4 linked regions of the Anolis sagrei genome follow. The protein of the gene in region 3 binds, or shares a complex with, the protein of the main gene of each other region. Links are inferred from orthologs where the notes say so. Each region holds a gene or a part of one and is shown on either strand. Other genes may lie near its edges.

The links.
Region 1: PHF20 (region 3) and KANSL1 share a complex: the UniProt entries of both Homo sapiens proteins name them as parts of the NSL complex. The link is inferred for Anolis sagrei from reciprocal best matches to the Homo sapiens genes PHF20 and KANSL1.
Region 2: PHF20 (region 3) and KANSL2 share a complex: the UniProt entries of both Homo sapiens proteins name them as parts of the NSL complex. The link is inferred for Anolis sagrei from reciprocal best matches to the Homo sapiens genes PHF20 and KANSL2.
Region 4: PHF20 (region 3) and KANSL3 share a complex: the UniProt entries of both Homo sapiens proteins name them as parts of the NSL complex. The link is inferred for Anolis sagrei from reciprocal best matches to the Homo sapiens genes PHF20 and KANSL3.

What each region holds. Positions count from the first base shown.
Region 1 is NC_090026.1:44,096,633-44,103,825, reverse strand, and holds the start of KANSL1 (KAT8 regulatory NSL complex subunit 1), read right to left. Parts: upstream 3,008-7,193; 5' UTR 2,925-3,007; intron 1-2,924. UniProt on the Homo sapiens protein: Non-catalytic component of the NSL histone acetyltransferase complex, a multiprotein complex that mediates histone H4 acetylation at 'Lys-5'- and 'Lys-8' (H4K5ac and H4K8ac) at transcription start sites and promotes transcription initiation.
Region 2 is NC_090022.1:137,522,440-137,530,276, forward strand, and holds the start of KANSL2 (KAT8 regulatory NSL complex subunit 2), read right to left. Parts: upstream 3,012-7,837; 5' UTR 2,923-3,011; exon of another isoform or gene 2,897-2,922; intron 2,882-2,896; exon of another isoform or gene 2,789-2,881; intron 1-2,788. UniProt on the Homo sapiens protein: Non-catalytic component of the NSL histone acetyltransferase complex, a multiprotein complex that mediates histone H4 acetylation at 'Lys-5'- and 'Lys-8' (H4K5ac and H4K8ac) at transcription start sites and promotes transcription initiation.
Region 3 is NC_090024.1:207,253,618-207,260,979, forward strand, and holds the start of PHF20 (PHD finger protein 20), read left to right. Parts: upstream 1-4,352; 5' UTR 4,353-4,488; intron 4,489-7,362. UniProt on the Homo sapiens protein: Methyllysine-binding protein, component of the MOF histone acetyltransferase protein complex.
Region 4 is NC_090027.1:22,755,904-22,762,987, forward strand, and holds the start of KANSL3 (KAT8 regulatory NSL complex subunit 3), read left to right. Parts: upstream 1-4,070; 5' UTR 4,071-4,211; intron 4,212-6,349; 5' UTR 6,350-6,415; coding exon 6,416-6,633; intron 6,634-7,084. Other genes in the region: DUSP11 (RNA/RNP complex-1-interacting phosphatase), read right to left, coding at 3,875-3,903. UniProt on the Homo sapiens protein: Non-catalytic component of the NSL histone acetyltransferase complex, a multiprotein complex that mediates histone H4 acetylation at 'Lys-5'- and 'Lys-8' (H4K5ac and H4K8ac) at transcription start sites and promotes transcription initiation.

The sequences.
Region 1 (7,193 bases), on a different chromosome or scaffold from region 3:
TTTTCCTAAATGCTAGTGTCTCTATGTATATATCATTAGTGGATTTTAGGAAGTACACAACATCCACAGGCTGATAAAATTTAATTGTTTTGAAGATTTTAAAAAGGTATCTTAGTTTTGCAATATTCTTCCGTAAAAATTACAACTCTAGAACAATAAAAATGGCAGATTCCTTATTTCTACCTCCATGATATTCTATGAACATTCCTCCCTATGATTTGTAATAGGTCCAGGGGACCCATGTGCTGTCCTTCGGACTTTCTGGGGATTGCACAGGCCACCCAAATATACTCTTCTCCCAAAACCAGAACTTTACTTCTACTTGACAAAAAATGTATTTTTAAACAGTGTGGAGGACTGGCAGGCAGGAAAAACAGAGTCATGTGCAGCCCCAATACTGCACTTTACCCAATCTCTGTCCTAAAGCTTAAAAAAATTAATAATGGGATGTCCAAGCTACAATTCTAAGGGAAAGAAACTTAAGCCCCGAACTATCTAGAAACAAGATACCCAAAGACCCAAACATAATCCTCATATTTATATAAGCAACCTTCAGTTGCTCAGGTGTTCAGAAATTTTAAACTAGTGTCCTATAGACCCACTTACCTGAACTCAGGCCGCATTTACACTGCCATATAAAATTCAGATTATCTGCTTTGAACTGGATTAGTCTATACTGCCATGTAATCCAGTTCAAAGCAGATCATCTGATTTTATATGGCAGTGTAGATGGGGCCTCAGTGAGAGACTTGTTTCTGACTTGTCACTATAGGGCCACATCGGTTTAACTCAGTCACTACAAATTGTTTATAATAAAATATCTCCCCATTTTGTAGGACTGATTGAGAAAGAGGAAGTAGTGATATCTGTGTGTGAGAGATTTTAGGTTTGAGAGCCCTGGCTCAAATGAAGGCCTCATCTAAACTGACCATTTAATGCAGTTTAAAGCTAGCTTCAAACCGCAGCAGCCAGGCAACAAAATTCCCACAAAAGCTGCAGAAATAAAGCATTAATGTGCACCAATGCTCTGCACACCCTCCAGGCCTGAAACTGGTTCCAGGATTTCCTACTGAATGATCCGCTTTGAAACAGCATTACACGCTCAGTCAAGATGAGGCTGAAATCTGGAATGGGTGCCCTCAGAAAGGCGCTCCCACTATTGCAAAACCTTAATTTTCTGGTGATATTAGGACCCACATCAGAGGCAGGGCCCTTGAGAGCCGGGCCTTGGGCAAGATGACAAACAGGGCCTGCTTCCTTCCTTCCAAATTGGGTTTAGTAATGGATGGTTGGCCTTCTTTTCACCCACCGGGCCAGTCTTCTCTTCAGTGGGGCCTTAGCCACCCCTTTCCCCTTATTCTCCCTGCCTTGAGTTTCCTATTTGGAGCAGAAATACCCACACACAGGAGAGTGCGAAGGAGGAGGAGGAAGAGGAGAAGGAGGAGGGACGGAGAGGCTTACCTTCCCTCTTGCAAACCGCCTCCAAAGGCAGACAACTTCCCAAAGTTATTTTTATATATATATATACTAGCCAACCCCTGCCACGCGTTGCTGTGGCCCAGTCTGTGTATATGTGTTTTGTGTGTGTATATGTGTGTTTAGGTCTGTGTATATATTTGTGTATTTATATGTGTATACGTGTTTATATATTTGTGTGCTTGGTGTATGTGTATTTGTGTATATATATGTCTGTATGTGTGCATGTGTATATGTATATTTCTGTGTTTATATGTGTATATGTATATTGTGTATATGTGTGTGCTTGGGTGTATGTGTATATTTGTGTATATATATGTCTGTATGTATGTGTGCATGTGTATATGTATATTTCTGTGTTTATATGTGTATATGTATATTGTGTATATGTGTGTGCTTGTGTAAATGCATATATATGTATGTGTATATGTATGTGTATAGGTGTATATGTGTATAGTTGTGGGTGCTTGTGTGTATATATATATGTCTGTCTGTATGTGTGCATGTGTATATGTATATTTCTGTGTTTATATGTGTACATATATATTGTGTATATGTGTGTGCTTGAGTGTATGTGTATATTTCTGTATATATATATGTCTGTATGTATGTATGTGTGCATGTGTATATGTATATTGTGTATATGTGTATAGTTGTGTATATGTATGTATGGTTTATTGGGGGGGGGGGGTTAAAGTCCGTTCGGCTGGGTTTTTTTGTGTGTTTTTAGGGGTGATGGACACTCATTGGCGTGATTGGTGTCTTGTGGCCAAATTTGGTGTCAATTCGCCCAGTGGTTTATGAGTTATGTTAATCCCACAAACGAACATTGCATTTTTATTTATATAGATTTCATTTATTTATTTATTTTGCCTTACACCCATCACCTTCCCTTAATAGAGATCTGTGTGGGAAGGAGGGGGGACAGGCTGTTCCACGACCACGCTCCCCCCCCCCTCAAAAAAACAAATAAACCCGTCCACTAACTCCTCTCCTTTCCTGGCCTGGCCCTATTCCTTCCCCCCGGCCACCCCATTGCCTCTCCTCCCGCTCAAAGTTGCCAGGAGTCCAGGAAGGGGCTTCTTCCTCGACTTGGCCTGGACTCGAAGCGAGACTTGCTTCTTCCCTTGGCATCTCTGAGGGGAGGAGGAGGAGAGTGGCGACGGTTGGAAGGAAGGGGGTGCCTTCTCCCCCAAACCCCTTCCTCGTCCTTACCAGGGGAGCATGCCTCTGCAACGTCACGCCCCCAGCCCCCCTTTCCCCTCTGCCATCCTTGCCGCTTCCTTGGCCCCCTCATGGCACCCCCTCCGCGGGCTCAGCCAGACCCACCTACCTGCCGAGAGAGAGGGAGAGAAGGGGACACCCTCTCCAGGCACAGCCTCTCCCTACTTGCCCTCAGAGTCGCGCCCGCTTGGCAACCTGCTCCCAAGACCCCCTCAAACACCTACCTGCACAGCTCAACCAGCCTTGAAGTGGGGTGGAGGGGGTGGGAAGTCTTCCGCCCTCCTCCGCTCCCCATTGGCTGACACCAAGGCCTAAGCCGTCGCGGTTGGCAGAAGGCGTGTCCGTCAACGGCGAAAGGGCGGGGCTTGACGAACTGGGGAGTAAGGGGGAGGGGGTGATGCTGATACCTCAAGGCTTCTTTTGCCTGGTGGTTCTTGGGCATGAGAGGAAATCGAGAGGGGCTGGGGGGGGGGGGGGGGGGAATACCTTCCTCGGTTATTCAAGCCCCCCCCCCCCCAATGTTTCCCCTCAGGCCCCCCACTCTGTGCTTCAGCCAGTCCCAGGAGTAGCCTAAAAGGCAACAGTCAAAGAGCAAAGCATTCCAATAGGCTCAGCCTTAAAGCAACTCCTCTGTCAGATGGAGAAGGAGTGGATTGGGGGAAGGAGGGGAGGGGGGTGCCATTTGGAGAGGAAAAGCGGAGGCTTTACCCTTACAGACCGACCAAAATTCTCCTCAGGCCCTGAAGAGGAAGAGACTTCCATAATTCAAACACACACACCAACGGACCAGGAAGCGTTTCCCACTCCCAAATTTCTCCTCAGGCCCTGAAGAGGAGACTTCCATAATTCACACACACACCAATGACCAGGAGGGGTGTCCCCTCCCAAATTTCTCTTCAGGCCCTGAAGAGGAGACTTCCATAATTCTATACACACACTCACAGTCACACTCTCCAATGGACCAGGAAGCATTTTCCCCTCCCAAATTTCTCCTCAGGCCCTGAAGAGGAGACTTCCACAATTCACACACAGACCAATTACCAGGAAGGGTTGTCCCCTCCCAAATTTCTCCTCAGGCCCTGAAGAGGAGATTTCCATAATTCTACACACACACACACACACACCAATGGTCCAGGAAGCATTTCCCCCTCCCAAATTTCTCCTCAGGCCCTGAAGAGAGACTTCTATAATTCTACACACACACACACCAATGGACCAGGAAGTGTTTCCCCCTCACATATTTCTCCTCAGGCCCCAAAGAGGAGACTTCCATAATTCTTCACACACACAGACACACACACACACACACACACACACACCAATGGACCAGGAAGCGTTTCCCCCTCACATATTTCTCCTCAGGCCCCAAAGAGACTTCCATAATTCTCTTTCTCTCTCTCTCACACACACACACACACCAATGGACAAGGAAGCGTTTCCCCCTCACAAATTTCTGCTCAGGCCCTTAAGAGGAGACTTCCATAATTCTACACAGACACACACATCAATGGACCAGGAAGCATTTCCCCCTCTCAAATTTCTCCTCAGGTCCTGAAGAGGAGACTTCCACAATTCACACACACACCAATGACCAGGAAGGGTTGTCCCCTCCCAAATTTCTCCTCAAGCCCTGAAGAGAGACTTCTATAATTCTACACACACACACCAATTAACCAGGAAGCGTTTCCCCCTCACATATTTCTCCTCAGGCCCCAAAGAGACTTCCATAATTCTCTCTCTCTCTCTCTCACACACACACACACACTCACACACCCCAATGGACGAGGAAGCGTTCCCCCCTCACAAATTTCTGCTCAGGCCCTGAAGAGGAGACTTCCATAATTCTACACACACACACTGCAATGGACCAGGAAGCGTTTCCCCCTCACAAATTTCTCCTTAGGCCCTGAAAAGGAGACTTCCATAATTCACACACAAACACACACACACACCAATGGACCAGGAAGCATTTCCACCACATACATTTCTCCTCAGGCCCTGAAGAGAGACTACTATAATTCTACACACACACACACACACACACCAATGGACCAGGAAGCGTTTCCCCCTCACAAATTTCTCCTCAGGCCCTGAAGAGGAGACTTCCATAATTCTATACAAACACACACTCTCACACACCTCAATGGACCAGGAAGGGTTTGCCCCTCCCAAATTACTCCTCAGGCCCTGAAAAGGAGACTTCCATAATTCACACACAAACACACACACACACCCATGGACCAGAAAGCATTTCCCCCACATACATTTCTCCTCAGGCCCTGCAGAGGAGACTTCCATAATTCTACACACACACACACACACACACACAGCTCAATGGACCAGGAAGAGTTTCCCCCTCCCAAATTTCTCCTCAGTCCCTGAAGAGGAGACTGCCATAATTCACACACACACACCCCAATGACCAGGAAGCGTTGCCCCCTCCCAAAATTCTCCTCAGGCCACGAGGGGGAGATTTATAATTTTCTTTCCCCCCCCCCTCCCGCCCATATAGAACAAGGAAGGGTCGTCCCTCAGGCCCTGAGGAGAGGACTTATCATTCTCTTTTTCCCCCATAGGTTACAAGAAAGTGTTGCCCTTTCACGAATTTCTCCTCAGTCCTTGAGGAGGGGACTTATAATTCTCTTTCCTCCCCATAGGTTACAAGAAAGTGTTGCCCTTTCACGAATTTCTCCTCAGTCCTTGAGGGGAAGACTTCTAATTCTCTTTTCCCCTCATATAGAACAAGGAAGAGTTGTACCTTCACAAATTTCTCCTCAGGGCCCGAGGAGGGGACTTATAATTCTCTTTTCCCCCCATCGGTTACAAGAAAGTGTCGCCCTTTCACGAATTTCTCCTCAGGCCCTGAGGGGAAGACTTCTAATTCTCTTTTTCCCTCATATAGAACAAGGAAGGGTCGTCCCTTTACGAATTTCTCCTCAAGCCCTGAGGAGAGGGGTCTTATGATTATCTTTTTTCCCCATATGGAACAAGGAAGTGTCACCCCTTCATAAATTTCTCCTCAGGCCCTGAGGAGGGGACTTATAATTAATTACCACCACCACCCCACCCATATAGAACAAGGAAGGGTCGCCACTCTCACAAATTTCTCCTCAAGGCCTGAGGAGGAGACATATAATTCCTTTTCCCCATAGGTAACAAGGAAGGGTTATCCCTTCACAAATTTCTCCTCAGGACGTGAGGGGGAGACTTATAATTCTCCCCCCACCCACCCTCAGAACAGGAAAGGGTTGCCCCTTCACAAATTTCTCCTCAGGCCAGGAAGAGGAGACTTCCATACTCCCCTTTCCCCCTCATTTTGAGAAAGGCCTCCCCAGAAACAAAACCCCACAAAGGTTGCCCCTGCCATCCTTTTTTGGGCTCAAAGTAAGGGAAAAGGGAAATAGGTGTGACATGCCAAGTTAAAGCCCAGGCATCTTGAAGTGGATGTTGGGGAGGGGGAGTCCAGGCACAAAGTGACTGTGGGTTACTGCTTTACTCTGGCTATCAGCCTAGTTTTTGTGATAACAACAACACAGGATACAGCATAATTAAAATACATAGATAAATCAAATGACCATAAAATACGTGTATTAAAAACATAGAATATGTATATCTTGGATAATAAGTACAGTCAAATAATGCAACAAATGACAATTGGAAAAGAAGACACAAGGCTGCTTGGATGGCTTTTAATTAAAACTGGACAGTGCAAATGGATGAATCAATCAATTAAACTTTATTTATATCCTGCCCTACCTTCCCAAGGAAACTCAGGGCGGCTTACAACAAAATAAGAGTGGCAAACATTCAATGCCAACAATAATATATAAACAAATAAAAAAAACAACTCAATAAATCATAAGACAACTTAAACCAAATGTGACACAGTACACATAATTACAAACATATTAAATCCTTAAAATCTCATTAAAACAGGTTTTTTTTGTCATGTCAGGAGCAACTTGAGAAATTGCAAATCACTTCTGGTGTGAGAGAATTGGCTGTCTGCAAGGATGTTGCCCAGGGGACGCCCGGATGATAAGCTGTCAATTAAAGTCACAGCAGATATCTTCAACACTACAGTTTTACCGGCAATTATATACACTTCTGAAATATGGGCAACAACAAGGTTAGAGGAGGAAAAACTGGTGGTGACTCAGAGAGCAATGGAAAGAAGGATAAGATAAAGTCAGCAATAAAGAGCTGTGTCAAAGAACTGGGGTACGTGACGTGGTCAATTAAATCTATGAAGCAAAAATAAGATTGACAGGGCATATAGTACTAACAAACGATAGCCAATGGATATGTCAACTGATGAACTGGATCACAATAGACTACAAGCAGTGCCTCTTGGGCAGATCTCATATTTGATGGGACAAACCAATGGTTAAGATATTCAGCCAGAAATGGAAAAGAAAAAGACAGGATCGTATATTTTGGAAATGGTAAATTTGCATTAAGCCCAAAGGAGTGAATTGACAACAAATTGGATA
Region 2 (7,837 bases), on a different chromosome or scaffold from region 3:
GTAGTCTGCAGTGCCTTTCGTGTTCCTGGATTCTTGTTTGGGCGCTGCGTTTGGTGGTCCCTATGTAGACTTGTCCACAGCTGCATGGTACACGGTAGACTCCTGCAGAGGTGAGAGGATCCCTCTTGTCCTTTGCTGAACGTAGCATTTGTTGAATTTTCTTGGTGGGTTTGTAGATAGTTTGTATGTTGTGTTTCCTCATCAGCTTCCCTATGCGGTCAGTGGTTCCCTTGATATATGGCAGGAACACTTTTCCTCTGGGTGGATCTTCATCTTTACTCTTGTGGCTTGTTCTTGGTCTTGCAGCTCTTCTGATGTCTGAGGTGGAGTATCCATTGGCCTGTAGAGCCCAGTTGAGGTGGTTCAGTTCATCTTGGAGGAGGTGGGGTTCACAGATTCTTTTTGCACGGTCTGCCAAGGCTTTGATGGTGCTTCTTTTTTGACTTGGGTGATGGTTGGAGTTTTTATGTAGATATCTATCTGTGTGTGTGGGTTTTCTGTAGACGGTGTGACCTGTCTGTGTTCCTGCCATATATCAAGGGAACCACTGACCGCATAGGGAAGCTGATGAGGAAACACAACATACAAACTATCTACAAACCCACCAAGAAAATTCAACAAATGCTACGTTCAGCAAAGGACAAGAGGGATCCTCTCACCTCTGCAGGAGTCTACCGTGTACCATGCAGCTGTGGACAAGTCTACATAGGGACCACCAAACGCAGCGCCCAAACAAGAATCCAGGAACACGAAAGGCACTGCAGACTACTCCAACCAGAGAAATCAGCCATAGCAGAGCACCTGATGAACCAACCTGGACACAGCATTTTATTTGAGAACACAAAAATGCTGGACCACTCTCACAACCACCATGTCAGGCTACACAGAGAAGCCATTGAAATCCACAAACATGTGGACAATTTCAACAGAAAGGAAGAAACCATGAAAATGAACAAAATTTGGCTACCAGTTTTAAAAAATTCTAAAATTAAAACAACAGAGAGAAAAACAGGCAGGGACATCTAATCACATTTCATTAAGAGTTTGCTCCAGGCACAGTCAGCCCATTGTATGCTAATCAAGGTGGTCAATTGAAAAGATTCACACCTAGCCCATCTTACAAAAGCCTTTTGTCTCACCCTGGTCTTTCCACAGATATATAAACCCTCTCTTTTTTCCCAGCTCCAGACCTCACCCTCTGAGGATGCCTGCCATAGATGCAGGCGAAACGTCAGGAGAAATGCCTCTAGAACATGGCCATATAGCCCGAAAAAACCCACAAGAACTGAGTGATTCCGGCCATGAAAGCCTTCGACAATACAATGTAGATTTATCTTGTACAATGGACTTCTCCTGAGATGGGAGAATTTATAATGACTGCTGGTTTTACTGCTGGGTCTATGGACCGCAATAAATATTGTTGTTGTTCTAGATCTGGGATATTTGGCACACAAAACTCCCATTACCAACAGAAAATACTGGAGGGTTTCTTTTTTTTTGGGGGGGGGGGGAGATTATGAGAGCTGCAGCCCACCCACATACAGAGACCATTGTGATCCTCACTGATGATGGATCTGGACTAAACTTGGCAGACAGATCCCTTATGACCAACTGTAAATACTGCGGGGTGGGTGGAAGGGGGCAATGGCAGAAGGTGAGTGGTAGTTTATCCACATCCTTACACATTTTCTAATGGAACTATTAATAAAACCGAAAAAGTATGCATGACTTTTATCCTTACCAAATACAAAAGCTGGTCATCACTGGGTACCAATGGTAAAGGTTTCCCCTGACATTAAGTCTAGTTGTGCCCAACTCTGGAGGTGGTGTTTATCTCCATTTCTAAGCCGAAGAGCCAGCATTGTCCGTAGACGCCTCCAAGGTCATGAGGCCAGCATGACTGCATGGAGTGCTGTTACGTTCCACTGAAGTGGCACCTATTGATCTACTCACATTTGCATGTTTTCGAGCTGCTAGGTTGGCAGAAGCTGGGGCTAACAACGGGAGCTTAACCTGCTCCCGGGAATAGAATTGCCGACCTCTCTGTCAGCAGCTCAGCAGCTTAACTCGCTGCACCACCGGGGGTTAGTATATAATTAAAGTGAATGTATGTGTGTGTGTGTGCATGCATGTATGCTTATACCACAAAGGCTCTTCTATAGCTTGATGGATCTGGACCAAACATAGCACATGTGCCTATCATAATCCAATTTAAAATAATTGAGGGGTTTTGACTAAAAAAACAACAACTAGAGGTGAGGGAAAGGAACAAAGCAGATTGGCTGTTGCTAGGTGAAGTGGCTCTCTGTCACGTGACTGAGAGGGAAGGGGGAGAGAGGGAAGGAAAGAAATAGAAAGGCTTTTAGGGGCCTCCCAGGCGCCCATATCATTCCCATAGAGAAGTTACATGGTAGGTAAGTTCTGAAGAGCCACGGAACCAATGCAGGCGCAGATAACGCCGAGTGTACTGGCTAGTTTGAACTAAGGAACACCACTATACTCAGCGCCCACGGGTGGAAGCAAACCTCCGCGGATACCGAGAGCTCACTGTAAGAAGTAGCAGCCACCCTTTCCCAATTTCCATCTGAATTGGATCCATTTTCCAGGCCTCCTCTGCTTCAACGCCCTCGAAGGCGAGGCGCGCGTTCCTGCCTCCTTCCCCTGTGTCCCCTCCCTCGTCTCCCTTGGCACCAGGCTTACTAACTACAGATCGCCTGTTTCCAGCAGGGAAAGCAAACGAAGCCGTTGTTTTAACGGGTAGACGTGAAGTACAGGCCCTGCCCCTAACCAGCTGAGTAACAGGGACCCTTTCCTTGTCTTTCCGCCTCCTTCGGCCATTACAACCGCTCTCAGGCCCAGACAATCCGAGCAGGCCTTCTTCTCCCCGCCGCCTCACCTCGGGCCCCTCCGCCGCCATCTTACCTTCCCTCTCGTGTTCTCAGCTCACACCTTCGCAAGGCCTCCAGCGCTCGGCTCGCCGACCAATCCGAAGACGGCCTGAGCACGGCCGCGATTGGTTAAAAGAGGCGTCACTCAGATGAGGTGGAGCAATGAGGTGCCGGTCTTCTCTCCTTCCTTCCTTCTCCCCGCCCACTGAACGATACAGGCTAATGGACATTGCTCAGAGCGGGAAGAGTCCGACTGGTCTATTGGCTGCGATGCTTGTCGCGTAAGCAAGGGCGGGGTTTGAGGTTGAGTGACAGCAGGGCGGCCGCGTGCTTTCCCTTCCGCCGGAAGGAAGGGCGCGTCTCGCTTTTTTAGGTCCTTTTGAAACAGGAAGCTCTCTAGGTTCTTGTGGGTTTTTTCGGGCTATATGACCATATTCTAGAGGCATTTTCTCCTGACGTTTCGCCTGCATCTATGGCAAGCATTCTCAGAGGTAGTGAGGTCTGTTGGAATTAGGAAAATGGGTTTATATATCTGTGGAATGACCAGAGTGGGACAAAGAGCTCTTCTCTGTTGGAGCTAGGTGTGAATGTATTGTCGAAGGCTTTCATGGCTGGAATCACTAGGTTCTTGTGGGTTTTTCGGGCTATAGGGCCATGTTCTAGAGGCATTTCTCCTGGCGAAACGTCAGGAGAAATGCCTCTAGAACATGGCCCTATAGCCCGAAAAAACCCACAAGAACCTAGGTGTGAATGTTTCAACTGACCACCATTAGCATTTGAAGACCTGGCTGAGCCTGGGGGAATCTTTTGTTGACACAGCATATTATTTGAGAACACAGAAATGCTGGACCACTCTCACAACCACCATGTCAGACTACACAGAGAAGCCATTGAAATCCACAAGCATGTGGACAATTTCAACAGAAAGGAGGAGACCATGAAAATGAACAAAATCTGGCTACCAGTATTAAAAAACTCTAAAATTACAACAGCAAAGCAGCAGAGAGGAAACAATCAGGCACATCTTAACACCTCTCAACAAAAGATTCCCCCAGGCTCAGCCAGGCCTTCAAATGCTAATGAAGGTGGTCAGTTGAAACATTCACACCTAGCTCCAGCAGAGAAGAGTCCTTTGTCCCACCCTGGTCATTCCACAGATATATAAACCAATTTTCCTAATTCCATCAGACCTCACTACCTCTGAGGATGCTTGCCATAGATGCAGGCAAAACGTCAGGAGAAAATGCCTCTAGAACATGGCCATATAGCCCGAAAAAACCCACAAGAACCTAGTGATTCCAGCCATGAAAGCCTTTGACAATACAGGAAGCTCTCTCTTTAAATACAGCCGTCCCTTTGTATCCGCTGGAATTGGGTTGCAGGGTCTTCGTGGATGCAGAAGGCGTCCCTTAGGTAATAGTATGAAAGCTGGGTCCGGAAGTTGAGAGGAACATGAGAACTGTGTTTCAAGATTTCAAAGGGTGTCCCATTGAGGAGGAGAAGGGGGGAAACTGACTTTCTGTTGCTCTAGAGACCAGGCCACAAGGGAGCAATGGTTTCAAATGGCAGAAAAAGAGTTTCAAACTGAAAAGATTAGGAAGAACTTCCTGGGGAGTAGCATAGGCTACCTGAGTGTGGTGGAGTGTCTTTCTCTGGAGGCTTTTCTGTAAAGGCTGTCTTCCAGGAGTGCTTTGATTGTACCTTCTTGCATGGCAGGGGGTTGGACTGGATGGCCCTGGGGGTTCTCTTCTGGCTCTAGGATTCTGTATCAGGAGGAGGCAATACGGAGTCTAATTGATACACTTTTCTCTCTCATCCACCATCTCATCCTGACCCAATTAGCATTCAAAGGTTTCTGGTCTCTCCTTCACTTTCTGCCTCCGAAAGGGGAGTAAAGGGCACGGAGGTGGCTTGGTGAGAACCCCCTTCCTCCTGGTCCGCCCACCCCACTCCAGCCCGCCATGAGGGCCCCAAGTTCGAATGCTTTATACACGCATACACATATTTTATATTAAAAACCTAACTTTACCTTTTGTATGGCTACGGTGGTTTACAGACTTCTTAGATTTGCTAAATACCTTCATTCACACACATTCTGTATCCAAGCCCTAAGTCGGTTTATCTTTCATTCATGATGTGGCCAGAGGTTGATACCAAGCTTCTTAAACCATTTTCCACTCATGACCCCTTTTTGGATCGAAAAACTTTTTACATGACACTAAATGGGTATAGAAATCAGGCATGATAACAAATCAGTATTTGCAAGGCTTGCTAATCAAGCTCATTTTTTCATTTCTGTGTACGTCTGAAGTATTTTTTGCCAAGTCCACTGTAAACACTGCAGATTTGTATAAATGTTCAGAAATTTATCGCAACCTTGATGTTGAGCCAAGGGGACCCCATTTGAGGTCTTCACCCAGTTTAAGAAGCAGTGCTTATGCCACTGGCAGCCTACAATAAACATTTGAATGCTTAGGTTCATGCTCCCATCGTTCTACTTTCCATTGCCCTGCCTTCAGCATTTTGTGAACACAGGACATATGGCAATGTGTGTGTGTAGCAGGTTCATTTCAATTTGGGAACAGAAAACCCAGGACACCTATGCCAGCCACGTAGCAGTTAAATGAGCCAATATTTTAATGCCAAGTGGTAACTGGCATTACTACTTGGCAACAACTTCCTCATATACAGCGTGGCTGATGGCAAGGTGACTTGGTGGTCCCTCATTCTTAGGACATGATGGAGCAATAGATTCAAATTGCAGAAAAAGAGATTCCACCTAAACATTGGGAAGAACTTTCTGACGATAAAAGCTGTTCAGCAATGGAATATGCTGTCTTGCAGGGTAGTGAACTTTTCTTCTCTGGAGATCTTTAAGTAGAAGCTGAATGACTATTTGATTGTGGGTTTCTGGATTGCTGCATGATCTCTTCCAACTTCATGGTTCTATGATCACCTTAAGTCAAAATCAACCTGATGGCAGTTAAACATCTCGTATACCTTGACAGCAATTCCAATTATGTACACATCCTAAGCCTACCTCTTTGTATGAAAACAGTGGAGGGCATTTCCACTAAACCATCTGCATAAAGCCTCATTCCAAGGCTAGATGATAGAAATACATCCCTATCTATCAGCACAGGAACAAGACGGAGAACACAGCCACAGATTTTATTAATTAGAACTCAGACAAAACAGTGGCACACACATTGGGTTGCCAGCAACTCAGCCATTTAATTGGAATAGATCTCATGGGCCGCCAAATCCAGTTCCCTCCTCAGTGCAAGATCAAACATCTCGAGAAGGAAGCCATCTAGCCTCTTTCTGAAGGCATCCAGAGGAAGAGACCCCACCACCTCTCTAGGCCCTAGGCAGTTGGTTCCATTGCTGAACACTTCAAATGCTCAATCAAAATCGAACTGTTAAATCTGGTCCAACCTTCTAGAGCTGCAGAGGGTAGGCCTTCCTTGCTGCAATAGCACTGGTATTTAGACTACAATCGTGTCACCCCTCAGTCTTCTCTTCACCAAGCTGAACGTGGTCACCTCCTTCAGCTTCTCACATTTTGCTCTCCATATTTCTTATCCTCATTATCTATCTTTGCTTCAACCCATAATCCTTTAAATGAGGTACCTGGAATTGAATGTAGATCAGGGTTGATCAGCACAGAATATAGTGGGACTATTACTTTCCTCAACTTGGGAAACTATGGTTCTATTAATGTAGGCTAGAATAGATTTCACCTTTTTTGCTGCAGCATCACACTGCTGGCTTGTGTTCAATGTATGATCAACAATCATCCCAAAGTTCTTTTCAAATGTTGTACGGCTGAGCCAAGTATCACCAGCTTCTGGGTTTTGTGCTCTATATGTAGAATTTTCAATATATACTATTGACTTCCTTTAGTATCTAATTTTATACTTCAACAAGTTTCTTCTGAAGTGTTCCCATCCTCCGGTGTGTTGACCACCCCTTCCATTTTTTAGCCATCTGTAAACCTGCTAAGGATTTCCTCTATCCTGTCATCTGAATAACTGATAAAAATTTTCACTTGTAAAAGCGCTGGAAGAGAAACCCGAAGCTCTCCACTTGAGAACTCCTTCCAGTTTGAAGCTACTGATGACGACTTTTCAAACAGTGTTTTCAACCAATATTATGTAACAAAATTTGAAAAAAAAATGTTTCTGGGTTTTATTTTGTGAAGATGTTATTTCCTGTTTAATTTTGCAGTACTTTCTTGGGAAGTAGTTTTTATATTCCAGAAACTTTGTTTTTGTGGCTTCTACAAACTATCCTGAATGGTTGAGACTCTGTGAGACACTCATTGAAAAACTATGTGCTGTAGGATATACTGCAAAAACTCAAGTGTTTGTAGTTTAATATTTTTTTCTGTTTTTATGACAGAACCAATTAGAAAATGACATTTATAACTCAGGAACAAAAAATTGTGTTGCATAGTGTAATAGTTCCATCTGACAGCGTTCTTATCTATTCCACACTGATTCAGATTTCCAATCAAATTATAGGGGATAATTATAGGGGATTGACATAATGTTGCTTGCAAGGGTGTAGACTGCCACATAGAACAAACTATTCTCAGGGAATCATCCTGGTCTCTGCAGCTGGCCTGTATGAGCTCAGAAAGCAGACCTTTGTTGTTTTCCTGTGCAACTGATTAAGTGCACAAAATGCCCTCCCCAGAATTTACCCCTCAAATCTACATAGTTTGAGGCCAGAGATACAACCCCGTGCTATACAACTTTTGTGGCTAATGGTTTTTATCTGCTGGTAACATTGCGTGCACTAAACTACACCATATCCAAGGCTGTCATGACAATATGAGTACAGGTGGAGAGAAGATAAGTATTTCTTGCATCAGATTTGATACATAGCAGGAATGGACAGATGCAGTGGGCCCATACTTACTCTGGACCCCATGGATTGAACAT
Region 3 (7,362 bases):
TTGTATCCCTAGGGATGTCCCGCTTAGCCCTTCTAATAGCCGAGGCCGAAAATTCCACATATTCAATCTGTCTATACAAGAGTAAACATACACTAATACATTAACATTTTGGTGCCCTCTCAAGACATCCCAAAACTACCGCCTCAGCCATTGTGCCTAATAGAAGCCATCTAAGTATGTGTTTTCCATTTCTGTTATCTCTTATCTAAATAGCCAATGTGGTATAATGATTTGAATATTATGCTAGGACATTGGGAGACCAGGCTTCGAATCCTCACCCGTCCTGGAAACCCAATAAGGCCACATCTACATAAACAATGTAATGCAGTTTCAAAGATTGTTTTGAAAAATCACCACAATATTTAGTACACCAGGCAGGGGCCAAATTTGGCCCTCTGGGTTTTTTGGACTTCAACTCCCACCATTCCTAACAGCCTCAGGCCTCTTCCTTTCCCCCCTCAGCCGCTTAAGCATCTGAGGAGGAAAAGGAAAGGGCCTGAGGCTGTTAGGAATGGTAGGAGTTGAAGTACAGAGTTGAAGTACAGGAGTTGAAGTACACCCAGAAGGCCCAAGTTTGCCTGAGGGGAAAAAGGAAAGGGCCTGAGGATGTTAGGAATGGTGGGAGTTGAAGTCCAAAACACCCAGAGGGCCCAAGTTTGCCTGAAGGGGAAAAGGGCCTGAGGCTGTTAGGAATGGTGGGAGGTGAAGTCCAAAACACCCGGAGGGCCCAAGGTTGCCTGAGGGGGTAAAGGAAAGGCCCCAAGATTGCTAGGAATGGTGGGAGTTGAAGTCCAAAACATCCAGAGGGCCCAAGATTGCCTGAGGGGAAAAAGGAAGGCGCCTGGGGCTGTTAGGAATGGTGGGAGTTGAAGTCCAAAACACCCTGAGGGCCCAAGTTTGCCTGAGGGAAATAGGAAAGGGCTCGAGGCTGCTAGGAATGGTGGGAGTTGATGTTCAAAACACCCGGAGGGCCTAAGTCTACCCATGCCTGTCCTACACTTTCCAGTCACCCCTTAAAACTACTTACTACACAGGGCCATATAACCCAGAATATCAAGGTGGAAAATAATAATAAAACTAATAATAAAACTTTATTTATATACAGCTCTATCTCCCCAAGGCGACTCAAGTAACAAACACCAAAACATACATAAACATAATATTATCAAAACAACACAAATATATTAAAAATAATCCTGCCTATTTGTGCTTGTGACACAACACTGTTATAGTACAAGTTTAGCATCCTTTATCCAGAGACTGAAAATATTTCAGAATCAGAAATTCTCTATTTAAGTGTCTTAAGATAGTGGTGCTTTTGCTTTCTGGTGGTTCAGTGGACATATACTTTGTTTCAGGCACACAAGGATTAAAATATTTTACCCCTTCAGGTTCTGTATATAAGATGTGCACGACACATACATGGAATTTCATGTTCAGACTTGGCTCCCATCTCCAAAATATCCCATCATGCCCATATATACAATACAGGCAGTGCCCAAGTTATGAGGAAGTTAGGTTCTGTAGGTCTGTTCTTAAATTGGATTTGTATGTAAATTAGAGCAGGTTCATTTTTTTAAGCGTAACTCCATCCAAATGTGTGTCCAAATATGTGTGTGTCTGTATTTGAAGCTTGAAACCACTTTAATTGCCATATAAAGGTAAAGGTACAACACAAAGGTAAAGGTACAACACATATAAAGGTAAAGGTACAACACAAAGGAACAACACAAAGGTAAAGGTTTTCCCCTGACATTAAGTCCAGTCATGTCCAACTCTGGGGGTTGGTGCTCATCTATTAATATTTATTTATTTACAACTTTTATATTCCGCCCTTCTCACCCCACAGGGGACTCAGGGCGGATTACAATGTACACATATATGGCAAACATTCAATGCCAATTTGACATACAAACATATACAGACATACACAGAGGCTATTTAACTTTTTTCTGGCCACCAGGGGAGCTGTCGCTTTCATCGTCCATCTGCGACGCTGATGAAGCACTTCCGCATTCCCTGCATGCTTCCCCGCTGGAATGCTTTGCTGGAGTCTTCTTTATGGCCTCATAAATCAGTTAATTTAGCCTCCCCACACTTTAAGGTTGTACCTTATTTTCCTACTTGACAGATGCAACTGTCTTTCGGGTTGCAAAGGTTGACAACAGGCTACACACAATTGTTTGGAAACCCACTCCAACCCGGGCTGGCTTCGAACTCATGACCTTTTGGTCTGAGTGATCTTAATGCAGCTGACACTCAGCCAACTGCGCCACAATCCCGGTGCGCTCCATTTCTAAGCTGAAGAGCCGGCATTGTCCGTAGAATCATAGAGTTGGAAGAGACCTCATGGGCCATCCAGTCCAACCCCCTACTAAAAAGCAGGAAAATAGCATTCAAAGCACCCCTGACAGATGGACATCAAGCCTCTGCTTAAAAGCCTCCAAAGAAGGAGCCTTCACCACATTCTGGGGCAGAGAGTTTCACTGCTGAACAGCTCTCACACTCAGGAAGTTCTTCCTCATGTTCAGATGGAATCTCCTTTCTTGTAGTTTGAAAATCCCACAATATATGCTTTAAACTGTGTTATCTGAGTCCTGCCATACAGGCCTGTAGCGAGGGGGGAGGGGTTAGGGGATCAACCCCCCCCCCGAAATGTTTCAGATTTTTTTTAAAAACCTGGTTTACTCATGAATTTTAACTGGTGAACCAAATCCCCATGCTAAGTCTATGAGATGCAAAAAATTAAGAGTCCCTCCAGAACTGTAAGCACTATCTCAAGCAAATATTGACAATTTATTCACACTGTCATTACTTGCAGGAATAGCCAATGTTGTGAAGCAACCAAGTTGGGGTGTGTGTGTTGAATGCTCTCATTAAGGAGGCCAGACTTGGTGGAGGTGGTTGACAGGGGCGGAGCTGCAGGCTATTGAAGGCTGCTCTGCCCTTTGCTGTGCTCTTTGCTTCAGCGTGAGCTAGGAGGCAGGCTTCAACACCCCCAGGGCAGCTCACCCATTACGCAAAGTAAGCATTTGCAGTATAGTTGATTTTGCCCAGGGGCGCTCTTGAGGAAAATAGACATTGACATATGCAAGTTGTAGCTACTGGGATGTATGTTGTTGTTCATTCGTCCAGTCGTCTCCGACTCTTTGTAACCTCATGGACCAGTCCACGCCAGAGCTCCCTGTCGGCCGTCACCACCCCCAGCTCCTTCAAGGTCAGTCCAGTCACTTCAAGGATGCCATCCATCCATCTTGCCCTTGGTCGGCCCCTCTTCCTTTTGCCTTCCACTTTCCCCAGCATAATTGTCTTATTTATTTATTTATTTACTTTGCTTGTATACCGCAGTTTCTCACCCCGTAGGCGACTCAACGCGGTTCACAACAAGAGCAAAAAAGTCAATCGTACAACATACAATATTTAAAACCATTAACAGCCTAGTATACAAATAATGACACATCAATAACAACACATTAGCATCTCGTAACTAAAATCGTGATCCAATTCGTCATCCATAAATCCGTTCCTATATTCATCGTTCAATTGCACTATTTATCTGAACGCCTGTTCAAACAGCCAGGTTTTTAGTTTTCTTCGAAACACGATTAACGAAGGGGCAGATCTAATGTCCATGGGAAGGGAGTTCCACAGCCGAGGGGCCACTACAGAGAAGGCCCTGTCTCTCGTCCCTGCCAGCTGTGCTTGCGATGCAGGCGGGATCGAGAGCAGGGCCTCCCCAGAAGATCATGGCGCTCCTTTATCTTCTCTAGGCTTTGCTGTCTCCTCATGATGTGGCCAAAGTACTTCAACTTTGTCTCTAGTATCCTTCCCTCCAGTGAGCATACATACATACTGGGATGTATAGTTCACCTACAATCAGAGAGCATTCTGAACTCCACCAGTGATGGAACTGAACCAAATATGGCACACAGAACTCCCACAACGAACAGAAAATATATATCAGTGATTGGTTGGGGGGGTGGGGTGCCAAAATACTGTTTGCTTACCGTTGAAAATTACCTAGGGCCGCCGCTGAATTACCTAGGGCCCCCCGCGAAATTTTCAACCCCCCCCCCCGAAAATTTCAACCCCTCCCGAATATTTTTTCTGGCTGCGGCCCTGCTGCCATATATCCCAGTTCAAAGAGAATCATGTGGGATTTTATCCAGCAGCGTCGAAGGGCCGTCCAAAAGTCAGCACCAACTCCCTGTGTTCTGCCTCAGAGAGGAAAAAGGCTGTGAAGTGACTGACAGTTGGTTCCCTTCTTAGGCCAACCGTCGTCCCGTTGACGCCACGCCCCCTCGCCTTGGCCACGCCCCCTGGAGGACCCTCCTTCTTCTCTCTCTAGGCAGGCGGGCGAGCGAGCTAGGGGCGCCGCAGCAGCCGTGGCGGCCATTTTGTGGCGCTGCTGCTCACAGCGGAGCGCGCGCGCGGAGGAGGAGGAGGACCCGCTCCCTCGCTCGCGCCTCTTCCCGCGCGAGACCCCCGGTAAGGACATGGCGCTCCTTCATCATCTTCCAAGTCGTTGTTTGGATGGAGGGAGAGGGGAATAGAAAGCGTGGCTCCCTCCGCGGCCCTCACAAAGGCGGCGGCGGCGGAGAGGGGCGGGGACCAGCCGCGGTTGTGACTGTGGGAGTCCCGGGGCCTGGGAGGGGTGGAAGGGTTACTTGTGCCGCAAGGGAGCCTCCCTCACGACCTGCTCTTCAGGGAAAGCGAAGGAGGGAAGCTGGGTAGCGGGCCCGCGGGCGCCTCTAGCCGGGCGGGATGTGGGCGTAGGGCTCGGCGGCCTGCTCTCGTGTGAGAGGCCGCTTCCTCTCCTCTCCTCGCCACGCGTCCCGCCCTCTTCCTTTCCCTTTCCCTTTCCAACGGTGGCCCGCAGCCAAAGGGGAACGGCACCAGCTGCGCCTTCCTTGAGCCTTCTCCGGGATGATGGCTTTCGAGGATAGCCGTAACGTGACCTTGATCTTCACCAGCCACGCTTCGGCATCAACCCCTGTCAGACCCTTTATGATTAGACCAATGTGGGTTCTGCATTAAGCCTACACATTAACCCCTTTCAGAACCATTATCGTGGCCAGCGTGGGTTCTGCCTTATCCACACACATTAACCTTTTGCAAAATCTTTGTCATGACCAATATGAGTTCTACATTAACCCCACACATTAACCTGCCCCCCTTCCAGCCAGGACCTTTATCATGACCCTTGTGGGTTCTTTGCTAATCCCACGCATTAACCCCTTTCTAAACCTATAAAGAACCTATACCAGGAATGATAAAGGTTTAGAAAGGGGTTGGTGCATGGGATTAACACAGAACCCACAGTGGCCATAATAAAGGTTTAGAAAGGGGGTTATTTGACACGACAAATAAACCCCTTTCTAAACCTTTATTATGGCCACTGTGGGTTCTTTGTTAATCCCATGCACCAGCCCCTTTCTAAACCTTTATCATTCCTGGTATAGGTTCTTGGCTCTTTATTAACCCCAAGCATTAACCCCTCTCAGAACTTCTATTATGACCAGTATGGGTTCTGCATTAACCCCACACATTAACCCCTTTCTAAATCTTTATCACAACCGAGGTGGGTTCTGCGTTAACCCCTTTCAGAACCTTTATTATGACTGGTGTGAGTTCTGTTTTAACCCCACATATTAACCCCTTTCAAAACCTTTATCACAACTGATGTGGGTTCTGCAGTAGTCTCACACATTAACTTCTTTCAAATCGTTTGTCATAACCGGTGTAGGTTCTTAATTAATCCCATGTGTTAACTACTTTCAGAACTTTTATTATAACTGGTGTGGGTTCTGTGTTATACACAATATTAACCTTTTTCAAAACCTTTGTCATGACCAATATGGGTTCTGCATCAACCCCATACATTACCCCATCAGACCCTTTATCATGATACTTGTGGGTTCTTTGCTAATCCCATGCATTAACCCCTTTTTAAACCTTTATTATGGCCACTGTGGGTTCTGTGTTAATCCCATGCATCAATCCCTTTCTAAACGTTTATCATGCCTGGTATAGGTTTTTTTTATTAACTCCACACGTTAACCCTAAGCATTAACCCCTCTCAGAACCCTTATTATGACCAGTATGGGTTCTGCATTAACCCCACACATTAACCCCTTTCTAAATCTTTATCACAACCGAGTGTATTCTGCATTAACCCCCTGCATTAACCCCTTTCAGAACCTTTATTATGACTGGTGTGGGTTCTGTATTAACCCCATGCATTAACCCCTTTCAAAACCTTTGTCATAACCGGTGTAGCTTCTTCATTAATCCCATGCATTAACTACTTTCAGAACTTTTATTATAACTGGTGTGGGTTCTCATTAACTCCTTTCAAAACCTATATCATAACTGATGTAGGTTCTTTATTAACCCCACACATTAACCCTTTTCAGAACTTTTATTACAACTGGTGTGGGTTCTGTGTTAACCCCACACATTAACCCCTTCCAAAATCTTTTATCATAACTGGGGTGGGTTCTGCATTAACACCCCACACATTAACTCCTCAGTGTGCATCAGTGCTCAGTGGTTTCTATAATCATAACCTCAAACTTGGTTTCAAGATTTTCTTTGTAAGCATTTGCATAACAAAATTTTTATTTATTTATTTATTTGGTGCATTTGTTAACCGCCATTCTCAGCCCTTTAGGGCGACTCATGGCGGTGTACAACATACATAAAAAGGCAATTTACAAAAAGGCAATTACAGAACAACATATTAACAATACAACAATTATAAAGTTACACTAAATAATCCGCTTCGTCTCATAGTGGAATCATAACCAATCTCATATTCCTTGTTCCATTCCAGTCATCTTTACCACATTATTATAGCACTTAATTAAATGCCTTCTCGAACAGCCATGTCTTAAGGCTTTTTCGGAAGGACATGAGGGAGGGCGCCTGTCTGATGTCTGCAGGGAGAGTGTTCCACAGCCGGGGGGCCACCACCGAGAAGGCCCTCTCTCTCGTCCCCGCCAGACGTGCCTGTGAGGCAGGCGGGATCGAGAGAAGGGCCTCCCCAGACGATCTCAAGGTCCTCGTGGGCTCATAGGCCAAGATGCGGTCCGAAAGGAAAACCACTTTCTTCAGTACTGGTTTGAATCTGCATTAAATGGCTGGCCTAGATGGGGCCTCAGTGGGCTTCCATGAGAATTTGAACTATGGTCTCCCAATGTTCTAGTACAACATTCAAGCCACTTTATCACACTGGCTCTTTAGATTGGGGCCACCTTTTTTCTTTTATATGATAAAATTGTAGCACTGGGTTTTATTTTCATTTGCGTAGTAGCTGTCTTTAGTCAGTATCTGTTTGAGAGCAATTTTCTGTAAAAAAAT
Region 4 (7,084 bases), on a different chromosome or scaffold from region 3:
GAAGTTTCAGAACCGTCTTCAAAGGCAGCCCCACGTAGAGCGTGTTGCAGTAATCTATTAGGGATGTTACCAGAATTTACCAGTAGTTGCTGCATTTCCCACTTCGGCTTATACTTATGTGGAGATTGGGTCCACGTTGACTTTAAATGTTTTTAGGATTAACATTTATTGCTGCTCTGCATTCCTTTCTATGCCTTTATTTTTTGCACATTCTTGAAAGTGCAGGAATGAGCACCTGAGCACAGAATCGAACTCTGATGTCTGGAGCAGTATAGATTACTTGGCCAAACTTCAGAAATGTTACATTAGTTAAAGCTTGCTCTGGCACTTGCAATTTGGTATATTAATTGTACATGCATTATCTAGCTGCTGTCTTCCTATGTGTACTATTGGGTTCATTTATGGGGCACAGCTTAATTAACTCACCACACTGAAGTCATTTCAGATTATTGGGTACAAAAGCAATCTAATGTATGATGAAGAGTCTGAAAGACACAAGCAGGTACCCACACTGTCTTCCTTTTATAGGGATTTGAAGTCTTGGATGTTTAAACTAGCCTTTGAGAATGTGTAAGATAAAAGTAGGCTCTGAATTGGGGAATCTTTGCAGAAGTCAAAGTGTCGGTTACATTTGTGTATTGTGTGGATTTTGTCGCTGCCTGTTTTTGTGTTGGGCTTTGGGTCCGAGTTCTGCAGCCTGGAGTTCCTGTGTGTGTTCGACTTGGACTGACTTCTCGTGAGTGTGGTTTTCTCCCTTCCTGGATCTCAGATTGGTTTGACGATGACACTGCTTGACGGACTTGGAAACGACACTTCTTTGGATTTCACCTATGACGACTCTTGGACTTTGTCTGGCTTTGGTTACTCTTTCGGCGGTTTATCTTTGCTGTTAACTGTTTGAGTGCGGTGTTGTTTGTTTGCCACTAAGTACTGCATTTAATCCAGTTCTTTTCTCTGGTTAATCCGAATTATGTTTCTGTTTGCTTTTTAAACCAAGGTTGGCTAATTTTTTGAGTTTTAGCCAGAGGCACTGAAGTTAAGCGTCTCTGAGCTTCTGTGTTTTTGTTGCATTAAACTGTACTTTGGAACTAATACTTTGTGTGGCCCCTTTAAGGCGTCTGTGTCTCGACAGTTTGAGTCCACAGTGATCTCTGGATGTAGGTGGACTACAACTCCAAAACCAAAGGACACTGCCCACCAAACCCTTCTAGTGTTTTCTGTTGGTCATTATTATTATTATTATTATTAACTTTATTTATACCCCGCAAAATCTCCCGAAGGACTCGATGCGGCTTACAAAGGCCAAGGCCGCAACAACAACATACAAATATAACATAAAACTCATAAGCAAATAATAAAACATCAAGCTAAGACAATAAAACACTAAAAACAACGACACATGATGCATTTAAAATCTAAAAGGCCGGGCCAAATGTAATGGACAAAATTTAAAAGTGCTGAACTTGACAGGAGGTATGTAGAGGTTTGTTGGAGGTAGGTTCAATGTGCAGACAATCCTAGTCTCTAACAAAGTGCATTTGGGACATGATGCCAGGAGTTTCCTAATCTGGAAAGGCACACTGGAACAGCCAGGTCTTCAGGCTCTTCCTAAAAATTGCCAATGTTGGGGCTTGTCTGATGTCCTTGGGGAGAGTGTTCCAGAGTCGGGGGGCTACCACAGAGAAGGCCCTGTCCCTCGTCCTCACCAAACTCGCTTGCAACGCAGGTGGGATCATGAGCAGGGCCTCTCCAGATGATCGAAGGGAATGTGTGGGTTCATATATGGAGATCTGTGTGCCAAGTTTGGTTCAATTCCATCGTTGGTGGGGTTCAGAATGTTCTTTGATTGTAGGTGAACTATAAATCCCAGCAACTACAACTCCCAAATGATAAATGGTGGTCCCTCGGCTGTGGAACACCCTTCCCACGGACATTAGACTAGCACCATCTCTAATGATATTCCGCAAGAAATTGAAGACCTGACTGTTCAAGCAGGTGTTCGAATAATTAGTGCAGTGATTGGTAATGAATATAGGAATGGAACAACGGAAGACAAATTTGGATTATGTTTTGGATGATGACACGACGCTGAATGGTTATCATAGTAATGGTGTTAACTGTGTATAGTGTTAGGTTGTGAATTGTTTTTATTCTGTAGTTTTGAATCTTGCTGTTCTTGTTTGTTGTACACCGCTGTGAGTCGACCCCGGGCTGAGAACAGCGGTCTATAAGTAAAGTAAATAAATAATAAAATGATAAATCAATTTTTTTGAGTGAAGGACATACATTGGGTTGTTAGATGTCTTGTGTCCAAATTTGGTGTCAATTCGTCCAGTGGCTTTTGAGTTCTGTTTATCCCACAAACGAAGATTACATTTTTATTTATATAGATATTATATTGAATTGCTTTGTATTGTTGTTATTGCTTTTCTGTTGTGATGTGTTGTTGGGTTTGGCCTCATGTAAGTCGCTCCGAGTCTCTTGGGGGGATGGTGGCGGGGTATAAATAAAGTTTTATTACATTATTATTATTATTATTATTATTAGGTTCTTGAAGGTTTTTCAGGCTATAGGGCCATGTTCTAGAGGCATTTCTCCTGACGTTTCGCCTGCATCTATGGCAAGCATCCTCAGAGGTAGTGAGGTCTGTTGGAATTAGGACAATGGGTTTATATATCTGTGGAATGGCTGGGGTGGGGCAAAGAGCTCTTCCCTGCTGGAGCTAGGTGTGACTGTTTCAACTGATCACCTTCATTAGCATTTGAAGGCCTGCCTGAGCCTGGGAAAATCTCTTGCTGGGAGGTGTTAATCTGTGCCTGGTTTTTTCCTCTCTGTTGTTTTGCTGTTGTAATTTTAGAATTTTTTAATACTGGTAGCCAGATTTTGTCCATTTTCATGGTCTCTTCCTTTCTGTTGAAATTGCCCACATGCTTGTGGATTTCAATGGCTTCTCTGTGTAGTCTGACATGGTGGTTGTTGGTGTGGCCCAGCATTTCTGTGTTCTCAAATAATATGCTGTGTCCAGGCTGGTTCATCAGGTGCTCTGCTGGTTGAAGTAGTCTGCAGTGCCTTTCAAGTTCCTTGATTCGTGTTTGGGCAATGCTGCGTTTGGTGGTCCCTATGTAAACTTGTCCACAGCTGCATGGTATACGGTAGACTCCTGCAGAGGTGAGAGGATCCCTCTTGTCCTTTGCTGAACGTAGCATTTGTTGGATTTTCTTGGTGGGTTTGTAGATTGTTTGTATGTTGTGTTTCCTCATCAGCTTCCCTATGCAATCAGTGGTTCCCTTGATGTATGGCAGGAACACTTTTCCTCTGGGTGGATCTTCATCTTTACTCTTGTGGCTTGTTCTTGGTCTTGCAGCTCTTCTGATGTCTGAGGTGGAGTCTCCATTGGCCTGGAGAGCCCAGATATATAAACCCATTGTCCTAATTCCAACAGACCTCACTACCTCTGAGGATGCTTGCCATAGATGCAGGCGAAACGTCAGGAGAAATGCCTCTAGAACATGGCTCTATAGCCCGAAAAAAACCACAAGAACCTAGTGATTCCAGCCATGAAAGCCTTCGACAATACATTAATTTAAATACTTTCACATTACCACAATCAGTGGATTTTGGTCTCCACAGTTTTAGAGGAACCCATTTTTCTTTTCAGTTTTACCTTCGATGCCAGGCATGAGCCAACTTGGGCCCTCCAGGTGTTTTGGACTTCAACTCCCACAATTCCTAACAGCCTAACGGCTGTTAGGAATTGTGGGAGTTGAAGTCCAAAACACCTGGAGGGCCCAAGTTGGCCCATGCCTGGCCTAGGCTCTCCCTTCTTTCAGGTTGGGCCAGGAAGGCTCTGTGTAATCCGGTCTCACGTTCTTACCTATCCGGTAGCTTGTTCTTCTTTCCCATTTCCTTTCCTCAGGCCTCTGCTTCCAACGAGGCGCTTCCCTCGAGTCCCTTCCTACCAAAGTCGGTTAAACATCCGCTTCCGTTTTTTTGCGCCGACGTGCTGGGGTGACGTCACCGCGTCGGGACAGGGGAGGCTCGGCGTCCAATCAGCGTCGAAGGGGGAAAAAAAAGAAGCGCGCATGCGCAGAAGAGGCTGAGGCCTGCCTGGCTGGCGGCCGGGGCTAAAGTGAGAGTCTCGCCTGCTTGTTTTCCTCTTCCCTCAACGTCTCTCCGTTCAAGCCCCGTCGGGATCGAGGCCGCTCTTAAAGGTGAGTAAAGGCCTTTGGGCAACTCTGCACATACTCAACAGCGGCCCTGTTCCAATATCATGCTCTCCTGACGTTTCGCCTGCATCTGTGGCAAATGGCACCTTCAGAGGGTCTTCAACAGAAAGGAGGAAACCATGAAATTGAACAAAATCTGGCTACCAGTATTTAAAAAACTCTAAAATTGCAACAGCAAAACAACAAAGAGGAAACAATCAGGGACATCTAATCACCCCTCAACAAAAGATTGTCCCAGGCACTGCCAGTCCATCAAATCCTAATCAAGGTGGTCAGTTGAAACATTCACACCTACCTCCAACAGACAAGAGTTCTTTGTCCCACCCTGGACATTCCACATATATATAAAAACCCAATTTTCTTTGCTCCAACAGACCTCACAACCTCTGAGGATGCTTGCCATAGATGCAGGCAAAACGTCAGGAGAGAATAGCATTTCACTATTGGCTGCTACTTCCCGGCGGATGCCAGGTGGTGCAATACCGGCTAAGCAGTGTAATTTCTCCAGTGGTGTAGGGCGCAGGCACCCCGTGATAATGCGGCATGTCTCATTAAGAGCCACATCCACTGTTTTAGTGTGGTGAGATGTGTTCCACACTGGGCATGCATACTCAGCAGCAGAGTAGCACAGCGCAAGGGCAGATGTCTTCACTGTATCTGGTTGTGATCCCCAGGTTGTGCCAGTCAGCTTTCATATGATATTGTTTCTGGCACCCACTTTTTGCTTGATGTTCAGGCAGTGCTTCTTGTAGGTAAGAGCACGATCCAGAGTGACTCCCAGGTATTTGGGTGCGCTGCAATGCTCCAGTGGGATTCCTTCCCAGGTAATCCTCAGAGCTCGGGATGCTTCTCTGTTCTTGAGATGAAAGGCACATGTCTGTGTTTTAGATGGATTAGGGATCAGCTGGTTTTTCCTGTAATAGGCAGTAAGAGCACCTAGAGCTTCGGAGAGCTTCTGTTCAACCATCTCAAAGCTCCTGCTTGAGCAGTAATGGCACGATCATCTGCATAGATGAAACTCTCTGTCCCGTCTGGCAGTGGCTGGTCATTTGTGTAGATGTTGAACGTGGATGGAGCAAGCACGCTCCCCTGAGACAGGCCATTCTTCTGTTTCCGCATACATTGCGATGTTTTGGTACTATATTTGTAAATACAGTAATTAATACATAACGTTACTGTGTTGAACTGCTTTTTTTGTTGATTTGTCGTCAAACATTATGTTTTGGTGCTTAATTTGTAAAATCATAAGGTAATTTGACATTTAATAGGCTTTTCATTAATCTGCCCTTATTATCCAACATTTTTGCTTATCCAACATTCTGCTAGCCCATTTGTGTTGGATAAGCAAGACTCTACTGTACTAAAAAAAACCCTCTAAAATCAGAACAGTAAATAAAGAGCAACACTCAGAAAATATGGAATAATCAGGGCCAGTTTACCCCTCCCAACAAAGGATTTCCCCAGGCAGGAATCAGCCAGGTGAGTAATTGCAGCATTCACACTGGCCTCCAACAGACAAGAGTTCTTTCTCCCACCATGGGCCTTCCACATATATTGCTTAGTTTCCAATATACCTCACAACCTCTGAGGATGCCTGCCATTGATGTGGGCGGAACTTCAGGAGAAAATGCTTCCGGAAGCTGGTCATACAGCCTGAAAAACTCACAGCAACCCAAGGATACTGCTGTCCACTTCTCAAACATTTGGATTGAGTCACCTTATGGACCCAGGTAGTCCCATAGTATAGGATTTACTATATACATAGTAAATATACATAGTTATATATATATAAAACGGCGCTCCATGCAGTCATGCCAGCCACATGGCCTTTGAGGTGTCTACGGACAATGCTGGCTCTTTGGCTTAGAAATGGAGATGAGCACCACACCCCAGAGTTGGACATGACTGGACATAATGTCAGGGGAAAACCTTTACCTTTTATATGCATAGGAATGCACAATATGAACTCCTGGAAATCTTGGGAGGTGCTTCTGCAGGCCCAAACTCATAGCAGATCCTAAATTTACAGACCCAGGCTCCAATCTGTATCAGCAGCCCCTCAGAAATAAACAGATGTGTGAAGAAGCCAATTTCTTGGTGCTTCTCTCTTCCTTTCCTGCCAGGGACCAGGATGAGGGGCAAGAGGAGTCCTTTGCCCCAACGGCGTTAGCAGCCAAAGACGTGGAGACATGTCATACCGAGGCAACGAACGCGATTTCCAGACCTCTGCACGGAGAATGGGGACCTCCCTGCTTTTCCAGCTGTCGGTCCACGAGAGAGAGCTGGACCTGGTCTTCCTGGATCACAGCTATGCCAAGCCCTGGAGTGCCCACCCAGATGCCAGCAATGCCCGCCCTACCCGCCTGCTCTTTGTGACACCTAAGAGGCACCAAGACAGCGGCACCATGTAAGTGTCACTCGTCTGTCTCGCTGTCTGTGCATGTTGACTTAGGAAGATCTCTTGACTTAGAAACCTACAGGATCCCCAATCCCAATCTTACAAATTCTGGGAAACTGTTGCTGCTTAGATTGAATCAGTCCATCTGTATTGTATTTTCTCTTTTTTTTTCTTGCTTCCACTTTTCCAAGTGTTATTGTCTTTCCTAAGAAGTAGCATTGTCTCATTCTATGACCAAAATACCGAGAATCCAGGCTTGGTTTGTTCTCGGACCCATATGTTTGTCTTTTTTAGTGGTCTGTGGTCTCTTCTAGCTCTACATTTCAAATTATTTGATTCCCCCCCCCCCTTTACTGTCCAATTTTAAATTCCACAGAGAAATCACAAATATGATTGATCCTCACTTCCTTATTCCGTTCTATATCTGCTTAGTTTAGTCTAAAGCCCCCTGGGGAGTCAC